Linked DNA regions of Elephas maximus indicus. The protein of the gene in region 2 binds, or shares a complex with, the protein of the main gene of each other region. Links are inferred from orthologs where the notes say so. Each region holds a gene or a part of one and is shown on either strand. Other genes may lie near its edges. The genes, in order: GIGYF1 and TNRC6C.

Region 1 (16,335 bases), on a different chromosome or scaffold from region 2:
AGGAACGATACCCAAAAGACTCCCACTATCTAGCAAACCTTGCTGGTGAATGAAGAGCACAGCTCCAGGCTCTCCTGCCCCACCCCCCTCAAGAAACATTTCCCTAACTGGGATCATCCATTTCAGTCCTGTCCCCTCCTCACAATGACCTTGAGGCCCTGCACACCACCCTCACCTCCCTCCATACCTCCATCCCTCCTTGCTGACTTCTCAAACCGTCTCTCGCCCCTGCAGGAGGTAAAGGCATTGGTCAAAGCACTGCTGCCCACCCCCGCCTCAAACTGTGGATCTCTGCGCACCTTGTCCATTGTGCCCGAGAAAGGTGGAAGATGGGAGGGGCAGCAGAAACTAGGGAAAAGTCAAGCTTATGGGAAAGGAACCCACTGGGGCACAGAAGAGAAGATCACAGAGACAAATGAGTCCTAAGAGAATCATAAAGTAAAGGGGGAGAATGAAACCACAAGGGCTCAGAGGGCACACAGATCGCTGACAAGGACTTTCCTTGGTTAAGTCCACTGTTCCCCTCTCATGACAAAAACCCAAGCCTCCCTCCATGGGACTCCAGGACCTAAACCCTTGAGTTTCTCTCCGCTCTGCCTCTATGCCACATCTCCTTCAGCCCATACCTGTCATCCCAGCTCTGGCTACGCTGGATCTCCCGGGGATTCCGTCCAAAGGCCCCATCGCCTTCTTCAATGCTTCTTTGGTAAAAGCAGCTGTCACCGCGGCCACGGCCTGAAGAAGGCATGAGATCAGTACAGAAGACTAGGTGATGGGAAACCACCAGATAACTGTGCCACACCTCAAAACCACAGGCACCACCTCTGCCCACCCCCTACAACACTTAATAACCCCCTCTACCTCGGCTTCTTGTGCTGCCCCTGCCACGGGAGGTGCCACCTGGGGGGGGGCCAGCCCCTTTCCCCATCAGCCTTAGCACAGCCACACTGTTCACTGACAGGGAGAAGTTTCTCTGAGGAGGGAGCCAGGGGTGGGAGTGAGGACCCAGGCACCGAACCACTCCCCAGCCCTCGTGCAGAACCTCAAGCTCCACCATCTATCTTCCCAACGTCAGTCCCAGCTCCTCCCCAAACCCAACCTCGACTGCAGCCTGCCGCCTTCCCAGGACCCGGCTGCCTCGGTCCCCCGCCTGGCCCCACCTGCTCCTCCTCAGTCAGAGGCTCCAATGCCAGGGGCTGCAGTGGCTCCTCCTGTAACACCGCAGCAAACTCCTTGTCCTGTAGCTCATCAGGGACCTGTCATTTAGGGCAGGAGTGCTGAAAAACCATGTGCTCCTAGGCCCTCTCCATGGCTAAGGCTAAACAAGCCACTTGGTCATATACCTCCTGTGCCCATCCACCCACACACCCACCTTGTTCTCCTTAATGTAGAGGGCCAGCATCTCCTCTCGCCCATAACGATAGTCAGCAAGCTTGTATTTGGGCATGGCAGGGGATGGGGGTGGGGATGCCACACTGCCCCCGCTGGAAAGGGCCCTCAGCCTAGGAAAGGTACAGAGAAAAAGCAGAAGGAGTGCTGTCACAGTAGCCGTATTCTTCATCCTGCTTCTCCATGCCACCCAGAGCACATGTGACTCACCACTCAGGCCCAAAGTTGAGGGTCTCTGCTGCCATTGCGGAGCTGGGCGTGTTTCCTCGAGGTCGGAGGGAATAAGCAGAGAGAGAACCTGGCGTTCACTCTCCAATAGCTGTGGAGGTATAGGGGACGCAGGACCTTAGAGAAGAGCAGCCCAGAGAACCTCTAGAAGGTCAGAAATAGGTACGGCACCTTGGCAGGGACAGGCGACAGGCTTGGGGGGTGGGCCACCTGGGCTCTAAAGGACTCACCTGAGCCAGCAAGTGGCAACTCACACCATGAGTTAATCAGAAATGAGTCAATACGGGGGAAAGACCTGGGGAAAGGGAGAAAACAGGGAAGTTCAAGCTCCTTCCAGCCTCTGCAGGGGCTTCCATGCAGGTACCAATCTCTCCCACCCTCTGCCTCAGACTTACCTGGCAGCCTTGCCCCAGAAGCAAGTAAGGCGGGGCCTGTGCTGAGTGAACTAGGGTTCCCAAGCTACTGGATACTAGTTTGACCTCAGCAGTGACTGGGGAGGGACCTTCACAACTGGTAAAGGTCCTTAAGCAGAAACAAAGGGAAGAGGTGGGTTACATTAATGGGTCAGATGGGACTCCCTACCTCTGGCCCTCCTGTCCTGTATAAGTGGAGAAGCCCACAGGCTGCCTGAAGGCTGCTTGATACCCAGCACAGAAGACCACAGCCCCCGGTCCTTCTCATCTCTGTCCCCCTTCATTCTGCCTCGTGAGCAGTTAGTTCATTCAGCCAACACTGAGGGTCCCTGGCGGACGTGCAAGAAGCCAAATGCCAGAGGTATGCCAGAGAACCCACCAAGCATAGTCTCTAGGTCATCAGCATTCTCCTTGAAGGCTGAGATAGAAAGTATGGTACAGCATTCGCTAAGGAAAGTGGCTAAAGTACATATAGACACTCAGAACTGAGATAAAAACAAGTAAAGGACCATTCAAAGGGAAAACCACCCCAGAAAAGGTTAATTACGGAGAGGAAAATGAGAAATAAATCTAAGGACAAAACTACTTCCCATATGAAAAAAATCAGGGTTGGCTATTTGGTGGCTAGAGCGCAGGTACTCGGCCTGGGGAGACACCCACTAAAAGGGAGATGGGGAAGACTATCCCAGGACCAAGGATGGGGCACACACTTCAGGCTCCAGGCAGGGAAGCCTGGGCCGACACATCCAGGGGCAGGTACACCAAACAGGAATAAACACCTGAGCCCCCTGCCCCAGGACAAGCCGATGACAAGTAGAAGAAAATATCCAAGAAGTGAACCACGTTATTATGAGAAAAGCTGGGGAACGGCTTCTCCCATCACAAAGTAGAAATAAAATCAGTTACTTTATCGCTGATATCAGAAGAGGCCGATATCAAAAGAGGCAGCAACAGCGCTCTGTCCCTCTAAAGAACAACAGAGGAGACTCATGGGAGGAGGCTCATCCCCGTTGGCGCCTGAGCAGAGGTGAAGGTGGTGTCTCACAGAGCTAGGCAAGAGCTTCCGTCACTGGCTGGGAGGGAGGCTGGAGCAGATCTCCACCACTGTATCCATCAACTCCAAGACTCGCTAATCCTGGGAAGAAGGAGAAAAGGGTTTCATCAAAGGTTTCGAAGGAAAGAGGCTGTCTTATCTATGGCCGACAGTAGGAAGACGAAGTAAAACTGCGTGACAAACACAGAACTGCAGCACTTGGGGGTGAAAAGCAGCTTTCGGAGATGAGCTAGAGCGAGGCGGGCCTCCCCTCAGCAGCGGCATCTCTTCCACAGACAGCCTCTGTTGGACGTTTCTGGTGATGGCACATGTGGCGCGTGCCACACCTCACAAGGCCACCAGAGAGGCCAAGCCTGTCGAAAAGTTCTTCCTTCCAGTGAGGTAAAGGAGGTCTCCCAGAAAAACGGAGTAAAGCTAACTCTTTCTCTACTCCACAACCCTTAAGATATTCAGGGGGAACCTACTGTGTGCCTAAGTCTTCCCCACTCCAAAAAAAACACCCCATGTTCTTCGTAACAAACCTCAAGAGAGGTAGTTTGAGACTCCTCACTAGCCAGTTTGCTCTAGAAGAGCCCCTGTCTTCCAAAGGGACGAAACCTCATCCTATAGACATGGACCGGCTAGGGGCAGCGAGAGGGAAACAGAAAAATGGGAACCCCCCCCCCTCCCAGGGTGTGGCAACAGCAGCTTTCCTCAGTGCTTTCTGCTTCTTGCCTTCACCTTCTGTCCTGGTGTAAGCAACAAGCAGAGGAAAAGTGGCTTAAACAAGCGTGAGAAGCAGGAAAACTGCAGAGGCAAGGGAGGCAGTCAGGGGAGACAAAGAGCCCCTGGGCAGGAAAAGGCCAAAGCCATCCCACCTTCTTGGGGAGAAGCTAGGAGTCAAAGTTCAAGTCTTTAGGACCTGCCAGAGAGGGGTTTGGGGTCCCAGAAGCTGGATGGCTGCCTGATCCTTCCTCAGACCAAATGAACCACTGTCAAGCAGCACAGATGGCACCCCCCCCCCCGCAAAACAAGGTGCAGCTCTGCTCCCCAGGGGGTATTTGATGGACATTTTTCATCACCACAACTGGGAAAAAGGTTGCTACTGGCTGCTAGTGGGTAGAGGCCAAGGATGCTGTTGAACAATGTACAGGACAACCCCCACCACGAAGAATTATCTGGCCCCAAAAGTCAAGTGTGCCACTGTTAAGAAACCCTCCTCTTCCGTGTGAACACAGGTAATGCCCGTTCTGTGTTTATGAGGAAGGGTAAAGGACAAAAACCACATTTACTCAGTTCATTCTCTCCTGTGAACAGTGGGAAAATCCTTCCCTTATGATACTGTCCCAGGAGAGAAAGCCTTGAGAAAATAGCTTAAAGGGGGAAAAAGTTTCTCTATCACAAACTCTCAAACAAAGCATTTGGATCCCCTTCCTATGAAGGCCAGAGCTGGAGAGACAGACAGCAGAAAACTAGGGACCGCATTCTTTTCTGCCTTACATTTTCCTGGCTTTTCTCACATGGCCCCTTCCAGCTTATCCACTACCTCTCTGTACTGCCTCAGTATGCCTACCACATACGACATCTGCCCATTCCCTATCCTTCCATTTCTTCTCTTTCTTGGGCCTCAATACACACTCAGGTGGTACAAAAGTTAGGTGCTCTGCTGCTAACCAAACTTGGGTGGGTCAAACCAATTCAGCTGCTCTGGTGGAGAAAGACCTGGTGACCTGCTCCTGTAAAGATTACAGCCCAGAAAACCCTATGGGGCAGTTCTGCCATCATATGGGGTCACTATGAGTCAAAACTGACTTGACAGCACCTACCAACAATACCCAAGAGCATCTGCTCACTGCTCTAGCATGGGAATTACTGCCATTAAAAGGCTGCCCCCTGCTGGAGATTAGCAGAGAGGACATACACTGGTCCTCACACAGGCTGGAGGGGACAGAAGGAAGCCTGGCAGAGTTCAGAACTCAAGAGAAGGAAAAGACCCAAAAACAAGTGGTCCCGATACCCACTAAGTAAAGACCGTTATTTCCACACCCCATCGCCTCTAAAATTGGCCCAATCCAGAGCAGTGGCCCTTGGCACAGCATGGTACCACGATTAACAGGAGAATTCCAAATTCCCAGCATCTGGAGCAGTCGCCCAGCCCCAAGTCTGCGAAGGTGACTCGGCCCTTTCTCAGGATGGAAAGATTCTCCACTGGGTGAGAACGGTGAGGCTTAAAAGGGGCGTACAAGCCTGTGTTCTTTCTGGCTGGCCCCAGCTCTCTACGCTCTAAGCCCTCATGGTAAATAATAATGCCACCTGGCATTTGTATACTATTTATCGGTTTTTAGAGTGCTTTCACACTTTTCCTTTTTCAGTCTGGGGCTCCAGCCAGGGAAAATAAGAAAGTAAGCTGCAGCTGCTCAACAGGGTTTCCCAACCTCCCTCAGCACCATCCCAGACTGGAGATGGATCGCCCAGCAACAGTTAACTGTCCCAAACGCTCAGGCATACTTTGTGTGTTTAAAACCATTTTTATTTTGTCAGACTTTTTTTTTTTTTTTTTAAACCCTCACGCAGCCTCTTCTCACCTTCTCTCCTCTTAAATATGGCTACTTTTTCTACCCCAAACTCCAACCACAGATGTAAAAGTCAGGCCAAACTGGGTCCTTTATCCATCGCATCACACACAACACTAATGCACCCACTAGCTGAAAAAGCTAGTCCAGAAGTCTAAGCACTCAACTCTCTAGACTTCAGTCACCATAGGAGACCTTACAGGCCCCTGCCCCCCGAGGAGAGGGCGGATTTGCCCCCAAACCTTTCCCAGTTACATGACAATGGGGACACAGACCCAAACAATCTAGGAAATAAAACGAGCTAGGGTGGAGAGTGGGTGGCCTGGGATTGCAAAGGGAAGAGTAGAAATGGGAAAGAATCAAAGACAACTCATATTGGGAGAAGCAGACCAGGACTGGCCTATTAGTACTGATGGTTTCACTTCCCAAGGCAAAGGGGCAGCGGGTAAATTGAAACTGGCGTGTTAGCCTGGAGGGGCTGTGGGAGAGGCTGGGGGGAAGCCCACGAACTTTGGGAAAACAGGACTTTGAGAAACAAGAGAGGAGTAAAACTGGGGTGGGCAGAGGCAAGAGCCAGCCAAGTATGCATTTAGCATCTATCAGTGCCAAGCACTTCGATGGAAGAAACGTGGAAGCTTACTGGGAATTCTGGTAATGACTGGGTAAAAAGTGATAAAGATAAGGGTCTCTCTGCAGTTACCTGAAAAAATGCAAAACCTGAGGGGCTGTGGCCAAGGAGCTGCCGCATCAGGGGAGATGGGCTGAGGAGGTGCGTGTGAGGGCCTAGCTTGGTGAAGGATTAAAGAGTCTCTGTTAAAGAAGATGTTTAATACTGACAAGCAACTGGGAGGAAGGAGACCCCAATGACCAAGCACTAACGTCGCTTGCTGAAAGGAAATTTTAGTGAAGAACCAGTCGAGATGTCTGATTACGGGAAAAGGCTTCCAAAGTCATGAACGCTTGGACTTTAAGCCCCGCAAGGCCCAGCTGATTCCCACAAGAACACCGAGGCGTGTTGGGGAAAATCTCCAGGAAGCGCCAGTCACACAGCACGGGCTCTGTGAAGAGCTGACCATTAGGGTCGGGGACCCCCTCGGCGGGCCCGGCGGAGGATGCGAGCGGGTGGGATGAGGCCCCCGGGGGAGATCGGCTCTCCGCCCCGGGCAGAATTTGGGAAGGGCCCGAAGGGGCGACCGTTAGGAGCGCGGGGGTGGGGAGGAGGCGGGCCGGGCCGGGGAGGACAACGTGCCCTTCAGGGAGGGGGCGCCAGGTGCGCGGGGCGCGGGGTGAAGGGCGAGCGGCGCCAGGAGGGCCCTGGGCTCTGAGGGCGCGCGGGGGCACGGCCCGCTTCGGGGGAGGGTCCGCCGGCGGGCGTCGGGGAGGGGCCGAGAGGGCGGACGCACCGGGCAGGCGACGGCGACCTCGGGGAGGAGACGGGGGAGGGTCCGGCCGGCGGCCCGCGCTCTGGCTCTCGCAGGCTCCGCGCGGCCGCCTCGGCGTCGGGGGCGGGCCTGCCCCAGGCCCGGCTGCGGGCCGGGGTCCACGAAGCCGCCGAGCGCTTACCGCGGGCGGGTGGCGCGAGGTTCGGTCCCAGGGCGTTGGCGGCGCGCGGAGGGCGGGCGGCGGGCGGGCAGCGGCGGCGGGGGAGGGGGCGCTGGCGCTCCCGCGGCGGCCGCTCCTCTCTGTTTGTGTTTGTAGCAAGATGGCTGCCCGCCTCGCACCACGTGACGCGGACGCGGGGACGCGGGGCCGCCCCCTCCGCCGTCGCCGCCACCGCCCTCCGCGGCTCCCGCGGGCTCGGACCCCGCACGGCCTCGCGCGCTCCCCGCGTGTCCAGAGGGGCGCGGCACTGACGCCCGCCCCGCCGAACGCCCCGGCACGTGACCCGGGAGCCTGGCTCGTCACGTGACGTGAGGCCTGCTGCTGGCGGGGCGGGGGGATGCCCCCGGGGTTCTCCCTGAGCTCCCGGGGGTACCCCCGGCACGTGACGCGGGACCCTCGGGACTGAGACCAGGGCTAGTGGCATCTTCGCCAATTCCTGACCAGTCGGCTTCCTTCAGGAAGCCCGCCTGGATTGAAAGAGACAAAATCGAGAAATGTGCATTATGCATCTTGGGATATGTGAAATAAGCGAAGAACCTCATCACTTAGAAACAGTCCCAGGCGGCAGTGGCTTGTGAGACCTGGAGTTTCTGGTTCAGCTTCTAGATCTCGGGCGAATGAGTTGAAGGTTTCGAGCCCCAGCTTCTTTTTTATTTAAAAAAAAAAAAAAAAATAGTGCCGTCTTTTTTACAGAGGGGTGTTAATGCTGTTCCCACCACCCACCCCCGCGTTCCCTTCATTGATTGCTGTAAGAATTTAAATAGGTGAATGTGAAAGCTTTGGAAAGAGACAAACTACTATGTAAATGTGAGACGTTAGGCTGAAACTTCGTTTGTTTAAAAAAGAGGTTTTCAAGAATGACTCCTCCGAATCGCTGAAATTTTTAGGATGAAAAAGTTTTGCGTGTGTGTTCGTCGTTTTCTTTGGAAGTCATTCCAGAATGTAGACTTTACTTTCCCACTTTCTAAAACAGCTGTTACCAAACACAATGTAATCCTTTTCATGACGGGAAAGTAAGTTCATGACTTGGAACTTGAGTCCCTTGTGTGGTACCTTAACAGAATGTGGACTTCAGGAGTGATCTCGAAGGCCCTTTGTTCCTTCAGTAAGCACCCTCTTGCTTCTGTGCACTGTAGTTTTAGTCTTTTTTTTTTTTTTTTAAGCATGCTTTAAGTGGAAGTTTATAGCTCAAGTTGGTTTCTCATACAAAAATTTATACACACATTGGTATGTGACCCTAGTTGCTATCCCTATGTCAGCACACTCCTTTCCATCCTGTATTTCCCGTGTCCATTCAACCAGCTCCTGTCCCTTTCTGCCTTTTCATCTCACCTCTACACAGGAACTGCCAATTTAGTCTCACGTATCTACTTTTATCTACTTGAACTAAGAAGCACAGTCTTCGGGAGTATCATTTTATGTCTTACAGTACAGTCATCTCTGTCTGAAGATTTGGCTCCAGGAATGGTTTTAGTTTGGGGTCAACAGAGAGTCCAGGCAGTGTCTGTTTTTTAAGTTTTGTTGGCTTTCCTGCTTCTGTGTTGTCTTGCTTGTCTTGTAAGCTGCTTGCTTACTGGCTGGAAAATGCAGTGGTTAAGAATAAGGACTCCATCCCTTACTGACTGTGACCTTGGGCAAGTTGGTTAACCTGTCTTTTGTGGTTTGTATCCTAAAGCATTTAGCATGGTACTCGTCAAGCCAAACACTCCACAAATGTTAGCTAATAGGGGCTTCTGGTTTAATGTGATTTGTGAAACGCAATATTCAGGACAGTTAACACTATGAAAATGTGTATCAGCAGAACGCAGCTTGAGTCAGAGAACTGCTAGAATAAAATAAGTGTATGGCCACTGTTTTTTCTACTTAAAAGCTTTTGTTGGTGGTTTACTTTTCTGGATTGGAGTTATGTTCTAGGTGGTTGAAGTTACCAGCAGCCTAATCTCTCAATTTAATAAGCAAACGAGATTGTAAACTATGGTAAAGAGATTATACAGGGAAAAAGAGGGTGGGTCTCTGTGGGGTGGAAGCAGCCAGGACACTGGCTGTTTGAGCTGATCTGGTGGGAAGGGCAGGATTTGGATAGATTTAGGAAAAGTGCAGAAGTTCCTGGGTAGTGCAAATGATTAAGCACTCAGCTACTAGCCAAAAGGTTGGTGGTTCGAACCCACCTAGATACCCCTTGGAGGTAAGGCCTGGCCATCTGCTTCTATAAGGTCACTGCCATAAAAACCCTATGGAGCGCAGTTCTACTCAATGGCAACTGGTAGGAAAAGTGTGTGTAGGTTTGTGAAGAGTGACAGTCCGGGCTGATGAGAGAAGAGGATCCTGAACCGCTAGTTGAACAAGAAATGAAGTGAAACTTAAGTTGAGGGGCTGGAATGCTGCTGTGAAAGTCTGCGTTTGAGAGTAGAAACCACTGTGGATGTAGCATAATAAGGACAGCACACTGGATTCCAGGGTAGAAGGTTGGGGCGATTGCGCAGGATCCCCTGTGTATCATTTTGCAAGTCATTTAATCTCCCCGACTCTAAAGTGGGAGGGCTGTTTCTGATGACACTGAATGTATAGGCTGCCTCTTTGAGGAAGGAAACAATTAAATCTGAACTGTGAATCTCCCATCCGGTATTATGAAAACAGTCACTTGGACCTAAAATACTTTTGTTTATTCAGGTGCTATGCTGTAGAATGTCTTGATCTGGGTTGTTTTCAATTTGCAAACGTTTGAACTTAACAAAGATTTAGTTAAGATGATTAATTGAGATAAAAGGGAGGTCTCAAGACTAACAGCCAATCTCTGCCTTTTTTATAATGCCAGGTTCATCTGTGGTGTTTTCCTTCAATGAAATGTAAAGAGATAAGGACTCTCTTGTTGTTAAATCAGTTTATTACAGAGACTGACTTCACCCACCTAAATTGCCAATGTTTATATTTAGCTGGATATCAACACTTGTAAAACATGTGTCAAATACCATGAAAAGACACACAGCCTGAGCAATGTGGTGATAGTTCATTAAAGTGACAAAAAAAAACCTGTTGCGTCAAGTCGATTCCGACTCATAGCAGCCCTATAGGACAGAGTAGAACTGCTCCACAAGGTTTCCGAGGAGTGGCTGGTGGATTCAAACTGTTGACCTTTTGGTTACCAGCTGATTTATTAACCACCACGCTACCAGGGCTCCTGATTAAAGCAAAGCCTCATAAGTTGTCTAAATTCCTGAGGAGTAAGAAACAGGATCAGCACAAAACTGGTTCCAGTGGGGCGGAGGTTCAGCTATAACTCTGCCTCCCCACTTTCTCCATAATTTCTGACACCAGCCACTCCCCCCGTGACACTCTACTTCTCTGCAGGACTTGATAATTTATTGCAGTGGCCTCACAGAACTCACAGACCATACTCACAGTTATGCGGTTTATTAGGAAAGTTAACAGGTTATATAACTCAGGACCGTATCAGCTTGGAAGTTGCAAGAACGCAGGATCCGTGTCAGGAAACACACAGGCCTCCAGTGATCAGTTGGGTGTGGCTTCTCTGCCAGGTGGCTGTCTTCTCTGCCTTGCAGGCCCCTCCATTGTCAGGCTCCCTGCCACTAACTGGCCCAGCTCATAGCCAGTATAGCAGCCTGCTCAGCTTTCTCAGCTGCTGCTCTGCTAGTAGCAGCTCTGTACCGTCAGACCTCTCTGCCATCGGCTCTTCCATGGCTAACTGGCCCAGCTCATAGCCAGTGTAACAGCCTAGTCAGCTTTCTTAGCTGCTGCTCTGCTAGCAGCAACTTTCTGCTGTTGGACCTCTCTGCTGTTGGGTGCTCTGCTTTCAGGCTATCCGCCTTCAGCCTCTTTGCTGCTAATTGGGCCAGTTAACCGCCCGCGTAGCAACTGTTCAGAAGTAGGCCTCTTTGCTGCTAACTACCCCAGCCAGTGTAGCAGCTTCAAGATCACTCAGTTCCCACGTGGCTCTGCTTCTCTGTTGGGCAGCTCTTAGCCAGTATCTCCCTCTCTCTTCCAGGAGGCCTCTCAAAACTTCTGCAGTTCAGCCATTTATATATCCTGATCCTTGTCAGTTACAAGGCGAGGCCTCCCTCATCAGACCAGTTCAACCAATCCTCAGTCAACCCCTGCAATGTCAATCAACTCAGGTCTTGTTAGTTATCAGGGGGAAGTATCAAACCATCAAGTTGCTTTTACAGTTTACCCAGGAAATGTCAATTAACCTAGAAGATCCCTTGGGCAAAAGTAATACACCGTTTGGGGTAGAAAATAACCTGGGAGCCCCCGCCCACATTGCTTCTCCGAAAAATTAGGAAAAAGAGTTTAAGGGGGAAAATCTCCCAAGCTGGTTTTTCCCAAAGAACCAAAGCAAAAGGCCGCGTAAAGGAACTCAATTTGCCATGTCCCTAAACTGTGCTTGTAGTAAATTATTTCAGACACAGTGGGCCTTAACATTAATGTATTACATTCAGAATTACTTTTGGCCATGAATTAAGTTTTCTGATCGGCCTACGTAACAAGGGTGGCAATATTTCGGGGATTTGGAACAGCAGCTTTCTATTATCCACTGCTCCTTCTATGTGGTCAGGCAAGCTGCTTGCTCACAGGCTAGAAAATGCAGCGGCTCAGAGTGAGGACTCCCGCGCTGCTTCCATCCTGTACTGACTGTGGCCTTGGGCAAGTTGGTTAACCTCTCTGTCTGGGGTGGTTTGTATCATAAAGCACTTGTCACAGTGCTTTAAAGTTAAAAGTACGCCTGACAATTTCATAACCCCAAACAACGTGGAACTTTCTTTATATTTGGATAATAGCCACTTGGTGGAGTTGATGTGAGGACAGGAAGAGAGAATGCCTCAATAAAGCACACTATTAGGGGTAAACTGGTCTGCAAATGTTAGGTGTATTGTTAATAAGACAGACCACACACAAAAAGCAGTTGGGTTTTTAATACACAAGCAATGAACAAGTAGAAAAGAAAATCAAGGAAACATTACTATTTACAATAGGCAAAAAAAAAAAAAAAAAACCAAACACGGTGCTGTCGAGTTGATTCCGACTCATAGCAGCACTATAGGACAGAGTAGAACTGCCCCATAGAGTTTCCAAGGAGTGCCTGGCAGATTCGAACTGCTGACCCTTTGGTTAGCAGCTGTAGCACTTAACCACTACGCCACCAGGGTTTCCACTAATAAAATACCTAGGAATAATTTTAACTAGGAAGGAGAAAGACATGTGCACAGAAAACTGTAAAACATTTCTAAATGAAATCAAAGAAGACCTAAATAAATGGAAGGACATTCCATGTTTGTGGGTTTGAAGGCTTGCTATAGTTAGGATGTCAATACTATGCAAAGCAATCTATAAATTCACTGCAGTCCCCATCAAAATTCCAACAGCTTTCCATGCAGAAATGGAAAAGCCCATCCTCAAATTTGTATGGAAGGGCAAGGGACCCTAAATAGCTAAATCAATCTTTTCAAAAATTTTATTTATTTTCTTGAGAATATACACACACGTTAATTCAACAGTTTCTACATGTACAGTTCAGTGACATTGATTATATTCTTTGGGTTGTACAACCGTTCTCACTCTCCTTTTCTGAGTTGTTCCTCTCCCATTAATAAACTCACTGTCCCCTAAGTTTCCTATCTAACCTTTCAAGTTGCTGTTGTCAGTTTGATCCCATGTAGATAAATCTTGAGAGAGCGCAGTGCTCAAGGCAGACATTCTTTACTAGGTAAGTTAAACTATTGTCTGATTTTAAGAAGATTTCAGGGGATATTTTTGGTTTAAGATTTAAAGATTATCTTAGAGCAATTGTTTCAGGGGTTCATCCAGCCTCCGTGGCTCCAGGAAGTCTAGAGTCCATAAAAACATTGAAACTCTGTGCAGCATTTCCCCCTTTTGATCAGGATTCTTTTATGGAATCTTTCATCGAAATATTCAGTAATGGTAGCTTGGCACCATCCAGTTCTTCTGGTTTCGTGGCAAAGGAGGCAGCTGTTCATGGAGGCAATTAGCCATACATTCCATTTCCTTTTCCTACTCCTGACTTTCCCTCCTGTGTTACTCCAGATGAATACAGACCAATTGTTGTACATTAGATGGCCACTTGCAAGGTTTTAAGACTTGGGAACTATGCGATGAACTAGGAGGTAGAACAGAAGCACTAAACACACTATTAGACCCAATTCTGGGATGTCCCACGAAACCATGACCTCCAAACCAAGGAACCAAATCCCACGAGGTATTTGGTTGTACATAAGCAGCCTCGACAGCTACTTTTTTGTTGTTGTTGTTGTAAATATATGTCACACAACTTTTACCAATTCGACTATTTCCAGGTGTACAACTTATTGACAGCACTTACAATACCCCTAATCAATGCAATTTTTCCATCACCATAAACTGAAACTCAGTACTCCACAAGCAATAGCCCCCCTTTTCCTCTCCCTCTACCCCTGGTAATCACTAATAAACTTGGGTCTCTATACAGTTGCCTGTTCTTATCCTTTTATATAAGTGGGGCCATACAATATTTGTCCTTTTGTGACTGACTTATTTCACTCAGCCTAATGTCTTCAAGCTCCATCCGTATTGTAGCATGTATCAAGACTGCATTTCTCCTACTGGCTGAGTAGTATTCCACTGTAGGTATTAACATATTTTGTTTATCGGTTCACCTGTTGATGGGCATTTAGGTTGTTTCCACCTTTTGGCTATTGTGAATAGTGCTGCAATAAACATTGGTGTACAACTATCTCTTTGAGTCTCTGCTTTCAAGTCTTTCAGGTATATACCTAGGAGTGGAATTCCTGGGCTATATGCTAGTTCTATTTTTAGTTTTTTGTGGAACTGCCACACTTTTCCACAGAGGCTGTACCAGTTTGGATTCCTGCCAGCAATGGATAAGGGTTCCAATTTCCCCACATCCTGGCCAACATCTTTTATTTATTTATTTAATCTTAAGAGGTCCTAGTAGAAATGAAGTGATAATCTCATTGTGGTTTTGATTTGCATCTCTCTGATGGCTAACGACATTGAGCATCTTTTCATGTGTTTGGTGATCATTTGAACGTCCTCTTTGATGAAATGTCTATTCAAGTCCCTTCCCCATTTTATGATTGGGTTGTCTTTTTGTTGCTAAGTTGTTGAAGTTTTGTATATATTTGAGATACTAGCTTCTAGATCAGATATAAAGTTTCCGTAGATATTCTCCCAGTCGGTAGCTTGTCTCTTCATATTTTTGGTAAAGCCTTTTGATGAACAAAAGTTTTTCATTTGTATGAGATTCCATTTATTTATTTTGTCTTTTGCTGTTTGTGCTTTTGCTATTAGATAGTCCGTTGTTAAAAGCTAGGCCCAACAGCATCACCCCTACATTTTCTTCTGAGAATTTTATGGTTTTAGTTTGTACATTTAGTTTATTCCATTTTGAATTTCTTTTTGCATATGGTGTGAAACATATCCTGTTTCATTTTTCTGCGTGTGGAAATCCAATTTTCCCAGTGCCATTTATTAAAGAGACTCTTCTTTCTCCCATTGAATGGACTTAGCACCCTCGTTAAAAATCAGTTGACCATAAATGTGTGAGTTTATTTCTAGACTCTCAATTCTATTCCATTTGTCTACGTGCCTATCATTATACCAGTACCAGACTTTTTTGATTACTGTAGCTGTATAGAAAAGTTTTAAAATCAGGAAGTGTGAGTCCTCATACTTTGTTCATCTCTTGCAACATTGCTTTCACTATTTGGGGCCTCTTGCTATTCCACATAAAGTTCAGGGTTGGTTTTCCATTTCTGTAAAGAAGGCTGTTGGAATTTTGATCGGGATTATGTTGAACGCATAGATCACTTTGGGTAGTATTGACATCTGAAAATATTAAGTCTTGCAATCCGTGAACATGGAACATCTTTCCATTTATTTAAGTCTTCTTTAACCTCTTTCAGCAGTGTTTTATACTTCTCTTTGTATAAATCATTCACATCCCTGATTAAATTTATTTCTAGTTATTCTCTTAAATGTTATTGTAAATGGAATTGTTTCCCTAATTTACCTTTCAGATTTCTCATTGCTGGTGGATGGAAACCCCACTGATTTATGTTTGTTGACCTTGTACCGTGCAATTCTGCTAAATTCCTCTGTTAGCTCTAGAAGTTTTCTTGCGGACTCATAGGGATTTTCTATATATAGGATCATATCATTTGCAAACAGAGATAATTTTACTTCTTCTTTTCCAATCTGGATACCTTTTATTTGTTTTTCTTGTCTTACTGCTTTGGCTAGGAGGCCAGAGACTTCTTAAGGCTTACATCCCAAGAACCGGAGGTCAGGCAATGAGAAGAGTGCAGGATTGAGAGACAGACAGTTTTACCAGAAGTCCATTTATATAGTGGAGGCAGGCCACACCCCCAGGTAAACTCCCCTTTCAACTGATCGGCTGCTCACATCAGATCACAGAGTGGAAAGTGATTACAGTACACAGTATCTGCCAAACCACTGAAAATAATAGCCTAGCCAAGTTGGCACATAAGAGTAACCATCACAGGTAGTATTGACATCTTAATAATATTAAGTCTTCCAATCCATGAACATGGAACAACTTCCCGTTTGTTTAAATCTTCTTTAACCTCTTTCAGCAGTGTTTTATAATTTTCATTGTATAAGTCTTTCACATCTCTGGTGGATTGTTTGTTTTCTTACTCTTGGGTTTAGAAAGTTCTTTATATATTCTGGGTACAAGTCCTTTGTCAGATACGTGATTTGTGAGTGTTTTCTTCTAGTCTGTGGTTTGTCTCTTCATCCTGTTAATGTGGTCTTTCACAGAGCATATGATTTAGTTTTGATAAAGTACAACTTACCAACTTTTTGCTTCTATGAAAAAGAAAAAAAAAAAAACTTTTGGTATCATGTCTAAGAACTCTTAGCCTGAGCCTAGGTCATGAAGATTTTTTTCCCCTATGCTTTTTCCTGCAAATTTTATACTTTTAAGTTTTATATTTAGATATACTACCACTTTTTTGTTAATTTTTGTATAGGGTCGAGGTTCAGTTCTTTGCTATAGATGTCCAGTTGCTTCAGCCCCATTTGTTGAAAAGACTATCCTTCC
Region 2 (16,718 bases):
ATTTGTGTACCCACTAGAACGTAAGCTCCTTGAGAATATGGATCTTATGGATCTTGTTCGCTGGGTATCCTTATACCTAAAACAGTGCGTGGCACCTTGTGGTCAGTTATTAATAAATAATTGATGCGTAAATAATGGATGGATGTGTGAATGAGTAGCTCATCCTTCTGAGCCTGACCTTTAAATGCTGGTGTTCCTCAAGGCTCTGTCCTCAACCCTCTTGTCTCTTTACTCTGTAAACCCCTCTCTACCTTATCTCACCCACGACCGTAGCTTTGACTTAATCTCTACGTGGGCATCTCCCAAGGTTTTCTTCCAGCCAGGTCATTCCTCTGAACTTCAGAGCTAGTTATTCTGCTCCCAGCTCCCTTCCCCACATTAGTGTCTCTCGAGCATATCATATTCAACATGTCCTTCCCCAGTGCTCACCTCAGGGAACTGGCCATCATACATGTAGTCACACTGGTGAGAGACAGTGGCTGTTCCTGACACCCATGTCCAATTAATCACCACCTCCTGTTCCTTTTGTCTCCTAAATAATTTCAGATCCTTGCACTGTCTGTCCCCAGATCCTTTACCACTCCCCAAAACTGAACTAGAATCAGCTCTCTGACTGCAGTCACCTACTCATTGACTTCTCTTATCCACTCTCTCTTACGATCCATTCTCCACAGAGTAGATGGAATGGTCTTGTAAAAACACAAATATGATATTTTCTTGCTCAAAATTTCCTGCTGTGTATTGCTAAAAAAAAAAAATTTTTTTTTTTTTTTTTTATTGCTCTGAGGATAAAGATTTTTAAAAAATTAGCCTTACTGTACCCTGGGAGACCTATCCTAGCCATTTCTTCCGCTGTTTGCTATGCTTTAGGCCCATTGGTCATCTTGCCATTTATTGAGCATGTCATATTTCTTTCGTTATAGAGCTTTCTCGTACCTGTTGTTCCCCCACCCTTTCGGCTAGCTGTCCTTCAGAGCATAGCTCAGGCCATAGAAATCTTCCATGATATCCTGAGAGGCCAGAGCCCTCCCCTGTGTGTGCTCTCATAGCACCTTGTACTTTTTTAGCACAATCGTAATGGATGTTTGGGGAAGTTAGTTGTCTCTCTCTCCCACAAAATTACGTTTTTTTTTTTTAAAAGCTCATGAAGTATAGGTATGACCTTGATGGGATATATTTATTTATGTCATCACCCTAAGAAGTAGCCTATTAGCAACTATAATAATTTGTCTTTCTGGTTTTTATCCAGTAATTTCATAGGGTAGATCAATTCAGATTGCTTCCTTAGAGGTATATTATGTTTCATTTGTTCTAAGAAAGACTTTTTCCTGTTTTTAACATCCCTGAACTTGGTATGCATCTTAGAGCCAGCGGCATATCGTGACGCCATTGGCATATCATGACGCCGTTGGCATATCGTGACACCATTGGCATATCATGACGTCGTTGGCAGCATTTTTTCCTTCTTAGTAGTGCATAAAATAATGGTGTATCTAATAATTGAAGGCATCTTAGATTAGATAAAATGTGGTATTTGTAACAGATTTGTTCTGGCAGGTTTACTGAGAACCTGCGGTGCTCAGTCATTCCGTGGAAGCATTAGTAAGATTTCTCTGTAGCCATTGCAGGAATCTTGATCTGCCTAACATCATTTTGATCTTACTCTACAGAGTTGACTTTTGGGTACTTAATTTATGTATCATTTGTTCAGGTAACACACACATTCAAATTGTGTCTGTATATGTATATCTTCCTTTTTTAGGAATATCATACCCATTTTTAGGAGTCCCTTGGTGTTAACATGCTTAATTGCTAACCGAAAGGTTGGTGGCTCTAGTTCATCCAGAGGCACCTTGGAAGAAAGGCTTGGGGATCTACTTCCGATAAGTCAGCCATTGAAAATCCTCTGGAGCGTTCTGACACACCTGGGATTGTCATGAATTGGAATCGACAACAACTGGTTCCTGATTATAACCACTTTTATCTCCAGGTAGAAGTGGGCGGGCCATCTGTAGGTTCCAGATACTGTTAACTATCCCCCTGAATACATTGTCCCACTCTTCCTTTTAGAAGAAGCTCCAGACGAGCACATCCAGAGCCTTCTCCCCCAGCCTTCCTCGTATCTAGATATGGACATGTGAATAAGTTGTGATTAATTGGATGTGAGTAGAAATGAAATGTGAACTTCCCGGGCATGAATCAAAAGAAATTATTTGCCCTCCAATTCTTATTTTCCCTCCTCTTTGTGGCTGGAAAGGTGGCCATGGTGCTGATGAGTCAGCTTTCACCAGGGAGGCAAAGATAAAGATAGTACCATAAGGGAAGAGGGGCAACAGTATGAAAAGAACCCAGGTCTCTAAATGACCTCATGGAATAGAGATGTCAGCCAGCCCCTGGATTGTGGGGGAGAAATATATCTTGAGGACATTGTATTTTGGAATCTCTTTTTTATAGCAGTGTCACCTGTACCTGTACTCTAACTAATGTATTATCCAAGAGGTTGTTTTTGTTAGGCTCTTCAGTGTCTTAAAAATGTGGCCATCCTTCCCACAGTTCGTTTTCAGTCTGAAGCTGTCACTCGGCCTGCATAGAGTGCATGCTCCTCTAGGATGCAGTGTGGTGCAAGATGCTTGGGTCTCAGTCACACCTCAACTTGGACAACAGCTCTGACACTTACTGTGTCACCTTGGGCTACTCACTGAGACCCTCTGTATTCAGATTCCTCTCCTTTAAGATGGGATGATGTCCATCTTAGGAAGGTTGTTTTGAGGCGTGGATGAGATCTATTTAAAAGGCCTTCTAGCTCTGTGCTTAGTAAATGACAGCTATTCTAGGTCTGGGGCTGGGTGGATGGTGGTATCATCTCTTTATTTTTGAGAGATATTGCTGTCATTAATTTTTCCAAAGAATGTGACCTCAGGCTCTCTGTCGCCCTAGTATTTCTTCAGTTGGAACTTAGTATTTATGGAGAGTTATTTGATTTTCTGTGTTTACCTTTGTGTGAATCAAGCAAAACTATCAGAAACCTTCATGTATGTCCTGTGTTGCCTTGGCTTCCTAGAGAATTGCTGACTTTTGGAGAATTCACTGGGTTTTCCCATCATGCTTTTGGTTGTTAGATCCTACTCTTGCCTATAGGAAGGAGTCCTGGTGGTACAGTGATGAAGCCCTTGGCTGCTAACCAAAAAGGTCAGTGGTTCAGAACCGCTGCTGCAAGAGAAGGATGTGACAGTCTACTTTCGTGAAGATTTCAGCCTTGGAAACCCTACGGGGCAGTTTTACTCCGTCCTATAAAAAGAGCTGCTGTGAGTTGGAATCAACTCACTGGCAGTGGGTTTGGTTTGGGTTTTTTGGTACCTTGCCTATGCTCTAGGAAACCCTGGTGGCATGGTGGTTAAGAGTTACGGCTGCTAACGAAAAGGTTGGCAATTTAAATCTACTAGGAAACTATGGGTAGCTTCTCTGTCCTATAGGGTTGCTATGAGCTGGACTTGAGGGCAGTGGGTTTGGTTTTTGGTTTTACCTGTGCTCCAGGACAGGGAGGGAGCTGTCCAGTGGTTTTTTCTGTGCTGCCTGGGTGAGGTACCACCTGCGAAACTTACTTTTGGACCTAAGTGGTAGGGAAACTCTCCCCTTACGGAACTGTTGTATGTTCTCATGGTTAATGAGGATTCGTAAAGGACAGAGAGAGGAATTGAATCATAAATAGTAACATAATGTGGTAAATTGCTAATTGTTTTTTACTGTGGGGCAAATTATAGGTTAGCTCTGCATACATGTGGTTCCACCGAAGTCTTTTGAAGAGGTAAACTCTAGACTTCTTGTTTTGCTTTGTTTTGTATTCTTTAGAAAATCCGAAAGCCAAAATGGCGGCAACTAGCAGTAAGATGACTTTGAGAGCAGTAGGAAACCTTTGCTTTTTAAAATCCATGTGCGGACACGGTATCAAGTACATAGTCCATACAGATTTACACTTTGGGCATTAGAGTTGATTTAAGACGGTAATCCCAAGGCAGTAGTTTAAGGCACAGAAACAACTATTTGTAACTAGTAAGTACTTGTTAGTACACGCAGTACGAGACTGAGCAGGTCCAATTTGGTCCGGTAAACTGTATGCTGTTTGTTGAATGAACGACTAAGATTAACCCTCATTACATAAGAGCGATGTGGCAGATAATAGAACACTCTTTCATAATTTGGTTGACTCCCTAGGATCTCTACCCAGACAATTTTGTTGGCATATGAACCTGGTTTGCTTGAAAATAAAATAGAAAATCAATCGAAATTTTTTCAACAATTGAATTTTTTCCAGTAATTCTCTTCATCATTTCTGAAATCTGAGTTTCTACATTTCACATTTTTAATGTGAAGTATCAATAATCCTTTTAGTTACCTGTTTTGTTTTTTTCCCCTGCACAATACAATTGGTCACATTTTTTTCTCCCCTGCTTTTAGTTTCACTATAGAAACTGTGTAGGTAGGCCTTTGAGATCTTTATCAGCTTATAACTTCAGCTCATACCCTCAGCCTGCTACTGTCCTCACATCCAAACCCTGGGCTTCAGAGAAGTTTCTCGATCGGGGGCTGGGTGGATGGCAGTATCAGCTCTTTTTATATTTGACTTTTCCCTCGTGCAGGTTGTCATACAGCTGTTTCTGCCCAGGTCTTACGTACTTGCTGTTTTCTGAAATCAGAATCCAGCTTTGAGCTCCTGAAACACAGTAGTCATCTTAGTTCACAGACCATCTCCAGGCCGGTTCTTGCATTGAACAGCTGCCCCTGGCCTCCGTTTCCTCACTGAAGTGACTGGGCTACAGTTGTGTGTGGCTGGGATTTGTGCTCCTTTTTTGTGATCGTGGTGTACAGCTGCTTCTCAGCTTGTCCAGGTGTGCTGCAGGTTTTGGAACATAGATATGTCATGGAGTTAGAAAATCCTGGACAAGTGATATTAGCCAAGTTCAGGCAAATAGAGTTACTCGTCTGTCTAGTTTGGTATTTCAGGTCTGTGAGTTGTTAATTAAATTTAACTTGCCATTTATTTTGATGTAATTTATTCATCGTTTGGGCAAATCTGTGAATTTTATTTATTTATTTATTGGTATACCCAGCTCCAGTATTTAAAAGTCTCTGGCTGATTGGCAGGGTGAAAAGGCTCTAATTTGAGGTTTCCTGTCAGTGCAGGTTCAGTCAGGAGGACACCATGCAGTAATGTGAACAGGGAACATTTACAGACTCAGAGCAACGAGGGATTGGCTGGCAAGAAGTAAAGAGAACCCTAAAGGATAGAGGAATAGCAGCTATAAGGAGTAGCCACTGCCTCCAGGGCTGAGTTGGAGCCCTCAAGGCCGAGCTCCAGACCTCACTGGAGAGGTCACGCTATGCTCACTGGACGCAGAGAACTCATCAATGCCGTGCTGGCAGAACTTGCCAGAAATCCACCTTCTCAGGTGAAAGCCGCTCACAGGAAAGGGTCTTGTTGGAGGCACTCTGCTACAATCCCCTCAGCAGAGGTTGACAGGGGAGGCTGCTGGCCACAGGTGCTGGAGAAGTCGCCACTGTTGCAGGAGCTGGGCACTGGGGAAGTCAAACCCGCGGCGGGAGCCTGGCAAGCACGCGCACTGGAACCTGGATGCAAAACTTTTTTTTCCAACTGTGTCTCTCTAGCACCCTCTACTGAAAATGCTTAACATCATGCCGATTGGCAGAGGAAGAAAACGTAAAGGTCCCAGATGCATTTTCACAGAGCAAACAAAAAGAGGAGGTTGGAGCTCGAGAGGCAATAAATAATAACCAGCACAGCTCCCCAACTCCAAACTCCTTTGTAGTTGGAGGTAGGCACTTTTGGGAAAGGCATTACGCTGATCATTGGCTACACACTACAAGCTTTTAAATTTCTAGCAAACAATGATATTTTTTAAAACGCGCATACATCCTGGTCATTCTTATTAACTGCTCCATAGCACACCAAGACCTGACAGCAAAGATTACTGTCTTTCAGACTAGTTAGGGATTTTCTTCTATTATGTTAAATATATTTAAAGTACGTTCAAGTGTCCTTAAGTAAGTTGACTAAGAAAATGGAGCTCCAATAAAAGGTAATAGCATTACTTTGTGACTTAATTCAAGGCTAATCTAAACTCAAATGAAATATAGAAAAGGTTTTTCACAAAACGGCACTTAAAACTCTTATACTTGTAATTTACATGTTAATGTAGTAAGTAATACTACAGTTTCTATAGTGGTGAAAATGTTTACTGAACCTAATTAGTTTTGAGACAAATTGTAATTAAATAATGCTGAATTCAGTCAGGTTTTCAAACTACTAAGTTAAGTTTAGGTTTCAATTTGCTAAGAGTGGGAATTTCAGATCACTTCCTTGTGCGCATGCGGAACCTGTCCATGGAGAGGGAGGAAGTTGTTCGGACAGAAAGGGGATACTGAATCATTCAGAATTGGAAAAGGTATACAACGGGTTGTATCCTTTCACCTTACTCAAGCTGCATGTTGACAAAATAATCCAAGAAACTGGGCTATACGAAGAACAAAGCATCAGGTTTGGAATAAGACTCATTACCAGCCTGCGATATGCAGATGACACAAACTTGCTTGCTGAAAATGAAGATGACGTTAAGTACTTAACTGATAAAGGTCAAAGATTACAGCCTTCAGTATGGATTACACCTGTACATGAAAAAAACAAAAATCCTCAAATTGGACTGATATACAACATCATAATAAACGGAGAAGAAATTGAAGTTGTCAGTGGTTTCATTCTACTTGGATCAGCAATCAATATCCATGGACGCATCAGTCCAGAAACCAAATGGACATACTGCATTGGGCAAATCTGCTGCAAAAGTTTTAAAAAGCAAAAATGTCACTTTGATGACTAAGATGCGTCTGACCCAAGCCATGGTCTTTTCAGTCACCTCATTTACGTGCAAAAGTTGCATAACGAAAACAAGAATTGATGCCTTTGAACTGCGCTGTTGGCAAAGAATGTTGAATATACTGTAAACTACCAGAAGAACAAACAAATCTTAGAAGAAATACAACCAGAATGCTCCTTAGAAGCAAGGGTGACGAGATTTCAACTTGACTACTTTGGACACGTCATCAGGAAAGACCAGTTGCTGAAAAAGGACGTCATGTTTGTGGTAAAGTAGAGGGCTAACAAAAATGAGGGAAACCCTCAATGAGATGGATTGACACAATAGCTGTAAAAATGGACTAAAATATACCAACGATCATGAAGGTGATGCAAGACCAGGCAACATTTAGTTCCGTTATTCATAAGGTTGACATAAGTAAGAGCTGATTGGACAGCAACTAACAACAATAGGTTTAAATAAATAAATTTGTTAGAAACCATTTGTGTGTCAGGATTCTTTGGTTATAAGCAGCAGAAAGAACTGCCATGTAACTTTTAGGAAGATGTGAGGTAACTGACAGAACTGAAGGAAAAACAGAAGGGCCGAGCTAAGAAAGGGCAGGGGCCCACTGTGGCCTGGAGAATCTAGGTAACTGGCCCCAGTGGACAGGTTCTTAAGGGTATGGTCAGTGAGATGAATCTGATCTAGCTGTTGGCCACTCCATTCAGTTTGCAAATCCCAAGGAGTGTCTTGATTGGCCTGGCGTGACTCTCCTGCTGTCAGCATTACTGGGGAGCAACCTAAAGGTATGAGGCTGCAGACCTGGAGGACCTCTGTCGCCAAGACTTCGTGTTTTTTTCCGTTTCTCAGCTTCACTTCCTTGGTGTTGGCCTCATTTCCAGGGCCTGTGGGTTTGAGAGATGCTGCAGCACCTTTCAGCCCTGAGGTTCTGTTAAGTCCAGACCCAGCAAAAGTGTCATCCCTGAGCCACTGCCCCTGAACGTCCACAGATTGAGAGTGAGTGTGGGAGTGGGACTCCAGGTGAAATGAGGGAACAGTTACCAACAGGAGGACTAAAGGAAGCTGGGGGTAAATCTGCTTCAGAAGACCTCTTTAAAGTCAAGCAAGATGTCACTTTGAGGACTAAGGTGCACCTGACCCAAGCCATGATAGTTTCGGTCATCATATATGCATGCGAAAGCTGAACAATGAATAAGGAAGACCGAAGAAGAATTGATGCCTTTGAATTATGTGTTGCTGAAGAATATTGAACATACCACGGACTGCCAAAAGAACAAACAAGTCTCTTGGAAGAAATACATACAGCCAGAGTGCTCCTTGGAAATGAGGATGGCGAGACTTCGTCTCACATACATTGGACATGTTATCAGGAGGGACCAGTCCCTGGGGAAGGATAACATGCTTGATAAATAGAGAGGGTCAGCAAAAAAGAGGAAGATCTTTACAAGATAAATTGACATGGTGGCTACAACAATAGGTTCAAGCATAGCAAGGATTGCGGGGATGGTTCAGGATCGGGCAGTGTTTTGTTCTTCTGTACATAGGGTCAGTATGAATTAGAACTGACTCAACAGCACCTAACAACAACATCAACACTTAAGCCTGAACAGAGACAACCAATGATTAGCAAACAGTTGCGGAAAACTTCCCACATCAAAGAGAGTCTAAGAGAAGAAGAGTCCACGGAAGAAACAGGTAACGTAGGAAACAAAAAAGCTTCAGAAAAACCCTAATATCCTCAGATAGAACAGAGATGATTTCGCATCCATAATACGAAAACAAAATGTGGAGAAGGAGCAATTAGAAAGCAAGAACGTCATTAAGAAGCACAGTGCAAAGATTAGAAGACCAAGTAGAGCCAAGCACACAGAAAATAGAATAACAGAAAGGCATGGAGTAGAAAATAGAAAAGTTATAGAGAATCAAACCAGGAGGCTCAGTATGTTGTTATTTAGAAAACAGAAAACATTTTCAAGAAAATAGCTGAAATTATATTTTTATGTTGAAAGAGTCAACCAAATGCAAAGCACAAATAATGAGGGGTGGGGGGGGAGACACCAAGGTACATCATCATGAAATTTCAGAACCCAGGGGATAAAGAGATGCTATAAGCTTCCATAGAAAAAATATATCACCTAAAACGGATTGAGAATCAAAAAAATCAGACATGCTAGAACAGTGGAATTCTCTGCTTAGCCAAGCCACCATTCAAACAAAAAGGCAGCCTAAAACTGTTTTCAAACATATATGGTCTCCAAAAATCAACCTCTCACACGTTCTTTCTTGAGAAGATACTTGACGATGTTTTCCAGCACATCGAGGGAGTAATTTAGGAAGGTGTAAGACAAGGGAAGTCACAGGATGGCTGAATTAATAAAGTCAAATCAGTGTTAATAGATGATGATGTTTTGCTGAGGCATTTGTACGTTTTGTTCCTTCTGCTTAGTCTGTTAATTCCTCCTTTCTGCTCTATCAGTCTGGGTCCAGTCAGAAAACAGAAATCACACAGTGGTACAGACAGAAGTTTATATTAAAGAATCATTAAGCTATGATACAAGAAAACTGGCAGAGCACTCCCAGCCCAGACAGAGCAGGACTGAAGGCCCTGGAAGGTAGATTTGGGGGGGGGGGGGGATTCATGTTTTAAATTTTGGAGGGAAGCATACAAAAACAGGATTTTTGTAAGGAAAATACTGTAAGAGGAAAAGAAACACAATTGGGAACTCAAAAAAAAAAAAAAAGAAAAGAAAAAAACAGCTGCACAAAAGGTAAAGTGTAATCCCAGTATATATTCTAACTCTGCAGCAAATATTTAGATATTCTTTGTAAGTAAATGCTGTTTATTGATTTAACTAAAAGTAGTAATGGATGGTAAAATGGGGGTGCTCTAAGAGCCATATCCACATCCGTCATTACACTAATTGTTAATGTCTCAAATTGGTGAGCCGAGAGCCTAGCCATCCACATACGTTATTTAGAGCTGGGAAGGAACATAGCTTCCCTGTATACGTGGGGTATATAATTAAGTGAAAAAAGAGTAACACAGAAGAGTGAATAGTCTGTTTGCATTTGTTATTTAAAAAAAAAAAGGATGAGTACATGTATAGTCGTATGTAGAGATACCCTAAAGATATCCAAGAAACTGCTAACATTTTGTTAACCTCTAAGCAGAGGGCCGTGGGGGTGTTGGAACAGCAGTCTTACGTTTCATTATGTATCTTTTTGTACTGTTTATGGCTTTCCCCCCCCATGAGCACTTATTACTTTATAAAATAAAAATGCGATTAAATGTTGATTTAAAAAAATTATTAATGATATAACAGAAATTGCACACTGGGGGTTAGAGGTAGAAGAGATTACTGCTAGCTAGGGGGAGATTAGATAAAGCTTTATTAAGAGCACATATCTGAACTACTCTTTCTCACGTAGACATGGGCGTGGGCGGGAAAGCGTAAGCAATTTCGTGGGCTTTAAATTTACCATATTGTGTACTTAAAGCAGTTTTAGGTTTACAGAAAAATTGTGGAGAAAGTACACAGTTCCATGTATGACCTTCCCACTGCACACACTCTCCTGTTACTAACGTCTTTCATCCATGTGCTATGTTTGTTGCAGTTGGTGAACCATATTGATATGTTACTATTAACTAAAGTCCTTGGTTTACATCATGCTTCACTCTGTGTGTTATATAGCCCTGTGTGTTTTAACAAATGCATGATGTTGTGTGTCCACCATTACAGTATCATGCAGAGTAGCCTCACTGCCCTAAAGATGCCCTGCGCTCCACCCCTCCCTCCGCTGGGACTCTACATTTTAAACAGGTACCCAGATGATTCTGATGATTGTGGTCCCTGAGACAACACTTTGAAAAATAATATTCTGGGGCTGAACTGTGGGAACTGCATCTTACTCCATTCTATTCTGTACCTTCCTCTCCGAACACAATGCCTGATAGTAGGTTGGTGCTCAACAAATATGGGCTGAATGAATGAGCCACTGAAGAAGTCAGGGCAACTTGCTGTTATTCTCAAAGGGTGCCTGTGATGGGGGTGAATGTCTGTGTCTTAACACCTGTCCTTCAAGGGTCCTTCCTTACACCATATGCGACTCAGCTGCCTTAAAACTTCCTGCTGCTAATGCTTCTCTCAATTTTCGATTTAAAATGGACATCGTACTAATACCACTTTTCTTTATATTCGACAGGGAGAAAGAACAAAAAACACAAGAAGAGGAACGTTTGATGGAAGAAAAGAAAAAGAAAAAGCAGGAAGAAAAGAAAAAGAAGGAAGGTGCTCAGAAAAAGGTTTGGCTAGAGTTACTCCTGATCTTCCTTGTTTTGAGAATCATTGTGTCTCATCTCTATGATCATAGCCATTGCATTACTAAGTTTCATTCTGCTTTTTAAATCAAGATACTAAATCTGTAATTAGTGGAGAATAGCTAATGTGCTAGTGAGATAAACGTAGGACGACCGCCACAAATTGCCTTCCTTCAGGGCCGAGAGGTACCGGAGCTGCTGCGTGTAAAGGTTGATGGAAGTGGCGAATGTCCACACTGTCCCGCTTGAAGCGAGCTGCCCGGGGTTGGGGGGGAAAGGGCTGTCTGGCTGATGTTGTCAGAAAAGCTCAGAATAACTGCTGCAACTTCAGCAAGCGTTCTTCTACAAAATTCTATTAGTAGATCCTAAAAATTAAAAGTCCCACTGTAAACCTTTGTAGACATGCTTGGATTTCATGGTATTTAAAATACAAAGTAAGGCCATTTGTTTTTGCTCTTGCCTAGTTTCATACGTTTTATAGTTGAAGCTGCATACCTCCCAGGCCGTATCACAATAGAGCTCAAAGGAGCTTTCCAGGGTGGGTTTTTTTTTGCCTTTAGATTGTTGTTGGCATGTAATCAATAGCATGTAGGCAATTGTATGTTTTTCCCCAATAATAAATGATAAAATTAACTGGACAAAATCGTGATTTTAAAATTCTAGTATTAGAAGTCCACTTACATACTTTCATAGATGGGTCCATCCTACAGGTTATTATTCCTAAAGAGTTTCTGATTTTTTTTTTTTTCCCCCCAGGCTGCTGATCAAAAAACCAAAGGTAAGTTTATTTATATTTGTGGGGGGCTACATTTTAGGACAGATCAAACTGTTTATGATGAAGATGACTAAGTTTTTAATTGATGGTTAAAAAACAGAATCTAACTTAGATTTTGTGCTGACTTTTTATTATTCGTTGTGAAATTCTTCATTTATCACTGGTTTTACATCTGCATTTCATTGGCATTTGCCTACTCTAAAAAACTGCCTAAAGGATGTTAATGTAAGTTTTATTAGCAATGCGTTACAGTTTTCCTTCGGTTTGATTTCTGCTAAACAAGGATTACGCTGATACAGGCGATCCGACCAAAGGGCACTGGATGTCTTTAAAGTCTCCGGTTCCTCATTGCCAGCTTTTCCTTATGGTAAAAAGGGACATGTTCTTTCTCTGTTCCTCCTTTGTCTATTGATATGTAAAACTTTCTCTTTTCTTAAATTCTCCAAGTCCAGAGTTTGCTGCTGTCTTATGGGTATTGGCGGAAGCACACAGTTCTTACTGTGATTTCCTGGCGATTCAGAATGAGCACAGTGGGAGCGACACTGGGAGCATCTTCATTGCAGACTTGACATGTTTAGGTGCTTTCTAGTGGTGAGGAGCACACACTCCGGAGTCATAAACCAGCTCTGGTTAACTTTGCGCAAACCACTTCCCGTCTTTAAGCCTCAGGCATCTCATACTTAAACTGAGACACCCTGCCTCCGAAAGCTGCTGTGAAGACGAGCGAGATGATGCTCGGACAGGGCTCAGCTCAGGGCCCAGCACACAGTCGGTGCTCAGCAAAGGCTAACTGTATTCACAGCTGTTATTTTTAAGTTTTGTTTTATATTGGAATGTCACATGTACACAGTTGTACCCGCCGGCATGAACTATAGAGATCCTCGTGACCAAGGGTTCACTCAGGCAGTGCCACTGTGGAGATTCTGTTTTTGTTTGACATTTTATAGTTTTCCAAGTAAAGTGTATGTATATTACGTCATCTGAATGTCATACTTCAGCAGGACAGGTATTAGTTTACAGATGAAAACACTGAGGCTCGTAGTACGCGTTGAGTGGCTTGTCTTGGTCTGGCATCAGTGGTAAAGATGGAAGCTGAGGGGTACCAGGGCTTCTGCCCCCAGTGCACTTGGCTTTAGTGCCTCTGCACTAAACTGCCTGTAACCTGCCGCCCTGGAGTCCGTTCTGACTCGTGCTGACCCCATCCCTTACAGGGTAGACTGCTCCATAGGGTTCTCCTATCTGTGATTGTTACGGCAGTAGGTTGCCAGGACTTTCTGCCGTGGCACCACAGCCTCGTGGTGAACTGCCAGCCTTTTGGTTGGTAGTCAAGCACAAAACCTTTGCACCGCCCAGGGATTGCCTCTGTACTGGAGTCACATTAAAAGATGGATTTAATATAAAGTAAATATGACAAGATGGATTTAATATAAAGTAAATATGAAAGGACAGCACAGGAAAAGGAACTTTTTCTCTCTTATACTCAGGAACACTGTGAATTTACATGACGCTCATTTTTAGAAGGGCCCAAAGGGCTTGTGGTGCATAGTTGTATTTGAATTTATGATCTTGAGTAAGGAGCAGTGATTTCTCATTTAAATTGCCGTTTAAAAGTACAGAATTGCCAAAATGTTCTGCATCATCCATTTCCTTTTTTAACGTTTTGTGAACTTTTTACAACCAGATTCAATATCAGCTATCTTCTGTTGTCATTGTTTTCTGCACGAACAGTAGCAAATTGCTCACTGTACAGTGATGGTGAAGTGTACCGCGCTGCTGCTACAGAGTTACTGTTTCCTATCACTGTCCCAGTGAGATCTTCCTCGCCAACTCCAGACTCTACTGGGTTTTTATTGTTTCTAAAATATTCTTCCTCTGGGTACAGTTTGTCAGTAACTGTACTAACTAGCCTTAGAACAGGTCAGAATTATAAATGTCCTTGTAAACAAACAAAAAGCTTTCTGAATTCTAAATAACGCACCATCTGTTGGTAGGTGCTGTCGAGTCGGCTCCGACCCAGAGTGACCCTGTGCGCAACAGAACGGGACACTGCCACCTCCTACGCCGTCCTCACAGTCCTTGTTACACTTGAGCCCATTGTTGCAGCCACTGTGTCAGTCCATCTCATTGAGGGTCTTCCTCTTTTTCGCTGACCTTCTACTTTATCAAGTGTGATGTTCTCTAGGGACTGATCCCTCCTGACAACACATCCAAAGTATGTAAGATGCAGTCTCGCCATCCTTGCTTCTAAGGAGCGTTCTGGCTGTACATCTCCCAGGACAGATCTGTTCGTCCTTTTGGCAGCCCGTGGTATGTATAGTCAGTATTCTTCGCCAGCACCGCAATTCAAAGGCATCAATTCTTAGGTCTTCCTTATTCATTGTCCAGCCTTGACATGAATATGATGCAATTGAAAACACCATGGCTTGGGTCAGGCGCATCTTAGTCCGCAAGATGACATCTTTGTTTTTCAACACTTTAAAGAGGTCCTTTGCAGCAGATTTGCCCAGTGCAATACGTCTTTTGATTTCTTGACTGCTGCTTCCATGCGTGTTGATTGCAAATCCAAGTAAAATGAAATCCTTCACAATGTCAACCTTTTTTCCGTTTATCATGATGTGGCTTATTGGTCCAGTTGTAAGGATTTTTGTTTTCTTTATGTTGAGGCGCAGTCCATACTGAAGGCTGTAGTCTTTGATCTTCATCAGTAAGTGCTTCACGTCCTCTTCACTTTCAGCAAGCAAGGTTGTGTCATCTGCGTAACGAAAGTTGTTAATGAGCCTTCCTCCAATCCTGATGCCCCGTTCTTCTTCATATAGTCCAGCTTCTTAGATTATTTGCCCAGCATACAGATCGAATAGGTATGGTGAAAGAATACAACCCTGATACACACCTTTCCTGACTTTAAACCACTCAGTACACCCTTTAATAACTGCCTCTTGATCTATGTACATAGATAGTTGTACATAGATCTGTGTACATAGGTACATGTACATGATACATAGATCAGTCCAACGGTGCTGCTACGTAACTCATTAATGAACACCACCAGTGGAAACCCTGGTGGCGTAGTGGTTAAGAGTCTGGGTGCTAACCAAAAGGTTGGCAGTTTGAATCCACCAGGCGCTCCTTGGAAACCATATGGGGCATTTCTCCTCTGTTCTGTAGGGTCACTACAAGTCAAAATCGACTCGACAGCAACAAGAAAAAGAAAATGGGAGCAGCATCAAGGTTTAAATTTTTCTGCAACTCTCTGTTATTACTGGTTCAGATCAAAATTAGCTGCCTGTGAGATGGTGGTTCTGAATTTCTGACTGAACTTGAATGAGATAATATAGAATGACAGGATTATATTGTAGGAATAGCGTCCTAGGCTGGGTGCTCCAGAGAAGCAAAACCAGTGAAGCACGTGTATATATATACAGAGAGAGATTTACCTTAAAGAAATGGCTCATGCAGTTGTAGAGGCTGGCAAGTCCCAGATCCGTGGGTCAGGCATCAGGCTAGAGGCTTCTCCTGATTCACGTAGCTGTAGGGGCTGACGAACCCAAGATGGGCAGGTCAGACGACAGGCCACTGGCTCATGGGCTACGGAGGCTGAGGAATCCAAGATCAGCAGATGGCAGGCTGCTGCCTCACAGGCTATAGAGGCCTAGAAATCCCAAGATTGGCAGGCAGTACAGCAGGCCACTGGCTCAAGTCCCAAGAACCGAAGGTCAGATAATGATGAGCCAGAGACAGGATCCAGAGGCTAGCAAGCAAGCTTTATTAGAACATCGAAATATATATTGGATTCAGGCCATGCCCCCAAGGAAACTCCCCTTACAACTGGTTGGCTCATTGCATCAAATCACATCATGGAGGACGATTGCATCATTGTATAACTGCCAAAGTACCTCGTTACATAACTGCCAAACCACTGAGAATCATGGCCCAGCCAAGTTGACACACGACCTTAACCATCACAAATAGTATGACTGTTGGTGCTCTAACCCCTGCTCTAGCTTGTAAGCCAGTGAGGCAGGGCCAGAGTGGCCTGGCTCATACCTCCATCCCCAGGCCCTAGCCCCCTGCCCAAAGTCAGGAGGCCTCAGAGCAGCATTCTCACTCATCGACAGCTTTTGTGCCAGGCCCTGTACTAGGCCCTCAAATTTATTATTTGTAGATGTTGCCACTGTATACTGTTGATGGTGTTCTCTCCAGTGTACAGAGGAGTAAACTGAAGCTGTGAAAGTTTGCCAAGTGCCCCAGGCTGCATAGCTAGTGAATCGCAGGGCTGTGCCCGGGATCTGTACTCCCAGCAGACGTTTATCAAGCATCTACTATTTCACACACCTCCTGTACTTCCAAACAACCCTGTAAGAGAGGAGATGAATGCTCAGAGAGAGAAATAACAGCCCAGGTCACAGAGCTAGGACATGGCAGAGGTTGGTCACATCTGACTCCAGCGTCCGATCTCCAGACCCAGACTCAGTTGCCTGGCCAACTGTGATGACCAGCCCTTGGCAGTCACCAGGAATGGAGAGCGGTACTGTCACCATGAGGCAGCACCTCAAAGGTCAGAAAGAGCTGAGCAGTGTGAGCGAGCCCTAGAGCTGACTACTCTGAAGAGAGAGACTAGAATTACAGATTCGATTGTGTGATGTACTGAATCAGTTAACTAACGTAGCAGAAGCAAGTTTGGATTGCTTTGGTTTTGATAATTAGCTCAAACTAGACCAAACCAATTAGTAAT

The links.
Region 1: the proteins of TNRC6C (region 2) and GIGYF1 are in contact, whole or in part, in a crystal structure (PDB 7RUQ), measured with the Homo sapiens proteins. The link is inferred for Elephas maximus indicus from reciprocal best matches to the Homo sapiens genes TNRC6C and GIGYF1. Residues at the interface, in NP_001136112.2 of Homo sapiens: Arg1719, Pro1720, Pro1721, Pro1722, Gly1723, Leu1724, Thr1725; in NP_001362694.1 of Homo sapiens: Tyr479, Asp481, Pro482, Gln487, Phe490, Trp498, Tyr503, Phe504, Leu508.

Annotation. Positions count from the first base shown.
Region 1 is NC_064830.1:92,090,741-92,107,075, forward strand, and holds the start of GIGYF1 (GRB10-interacting GYF protein 1), read right to left. Parts: upstream 7,465-16,335; 5' UTR 7,200-7,464; intron 7,169-7,199; exon of another isoform or gene 7,040-7,168; intron 3,166-7,039; 5' UTR 3,076-3,165; exon of another isoform or gene 2,140-3,075; 5' UTR 2,013-2,139; intron 1,913-2,012; 5' UTR 1,848-1,912; intron 1,709-1,847; 5' UTR 1,635-1,708; coding exon 1,600-1,634; intron 1,503-1,599; coding exon 1,373-1,502; intron 1,257-1,372; coding exon 1,161-1,256; intron 974-1,160; coding exon 862-973; intron 736-861; coding exon 627-735; intron 229-626; coding exon 188-228; intron 1-187. UniProt on the Homo sapiens protein: May act cooperatively with GRB10 to regulate tyrosine kinase receptor signaling. May increase IGF1 receptor phosphorylation under IGF1 stimulation as well as phosphorylation of IRS1 and SHC1.
Region 2 is NC_064837.1:67,968,381-67,985,098, forward strand, and holds the start of TNRC6C (trinucleotide repeat-containing gene 6C protein), read left to right. Parts: upstream 1-9,675; 5' UTR 9,676-11,055; coding exon 11,056-11,196; intron 11,197-11,967; coding exon 11,968-11,989; intron 11,990-16,718. UniProt on the Homo sapiens protein: Plays a role in RNA-mediated gene silencing by micro-RNAs (miRNAs). Required for miRNA-dependent translational repression of complementary mRNAs by argonaute family proteins.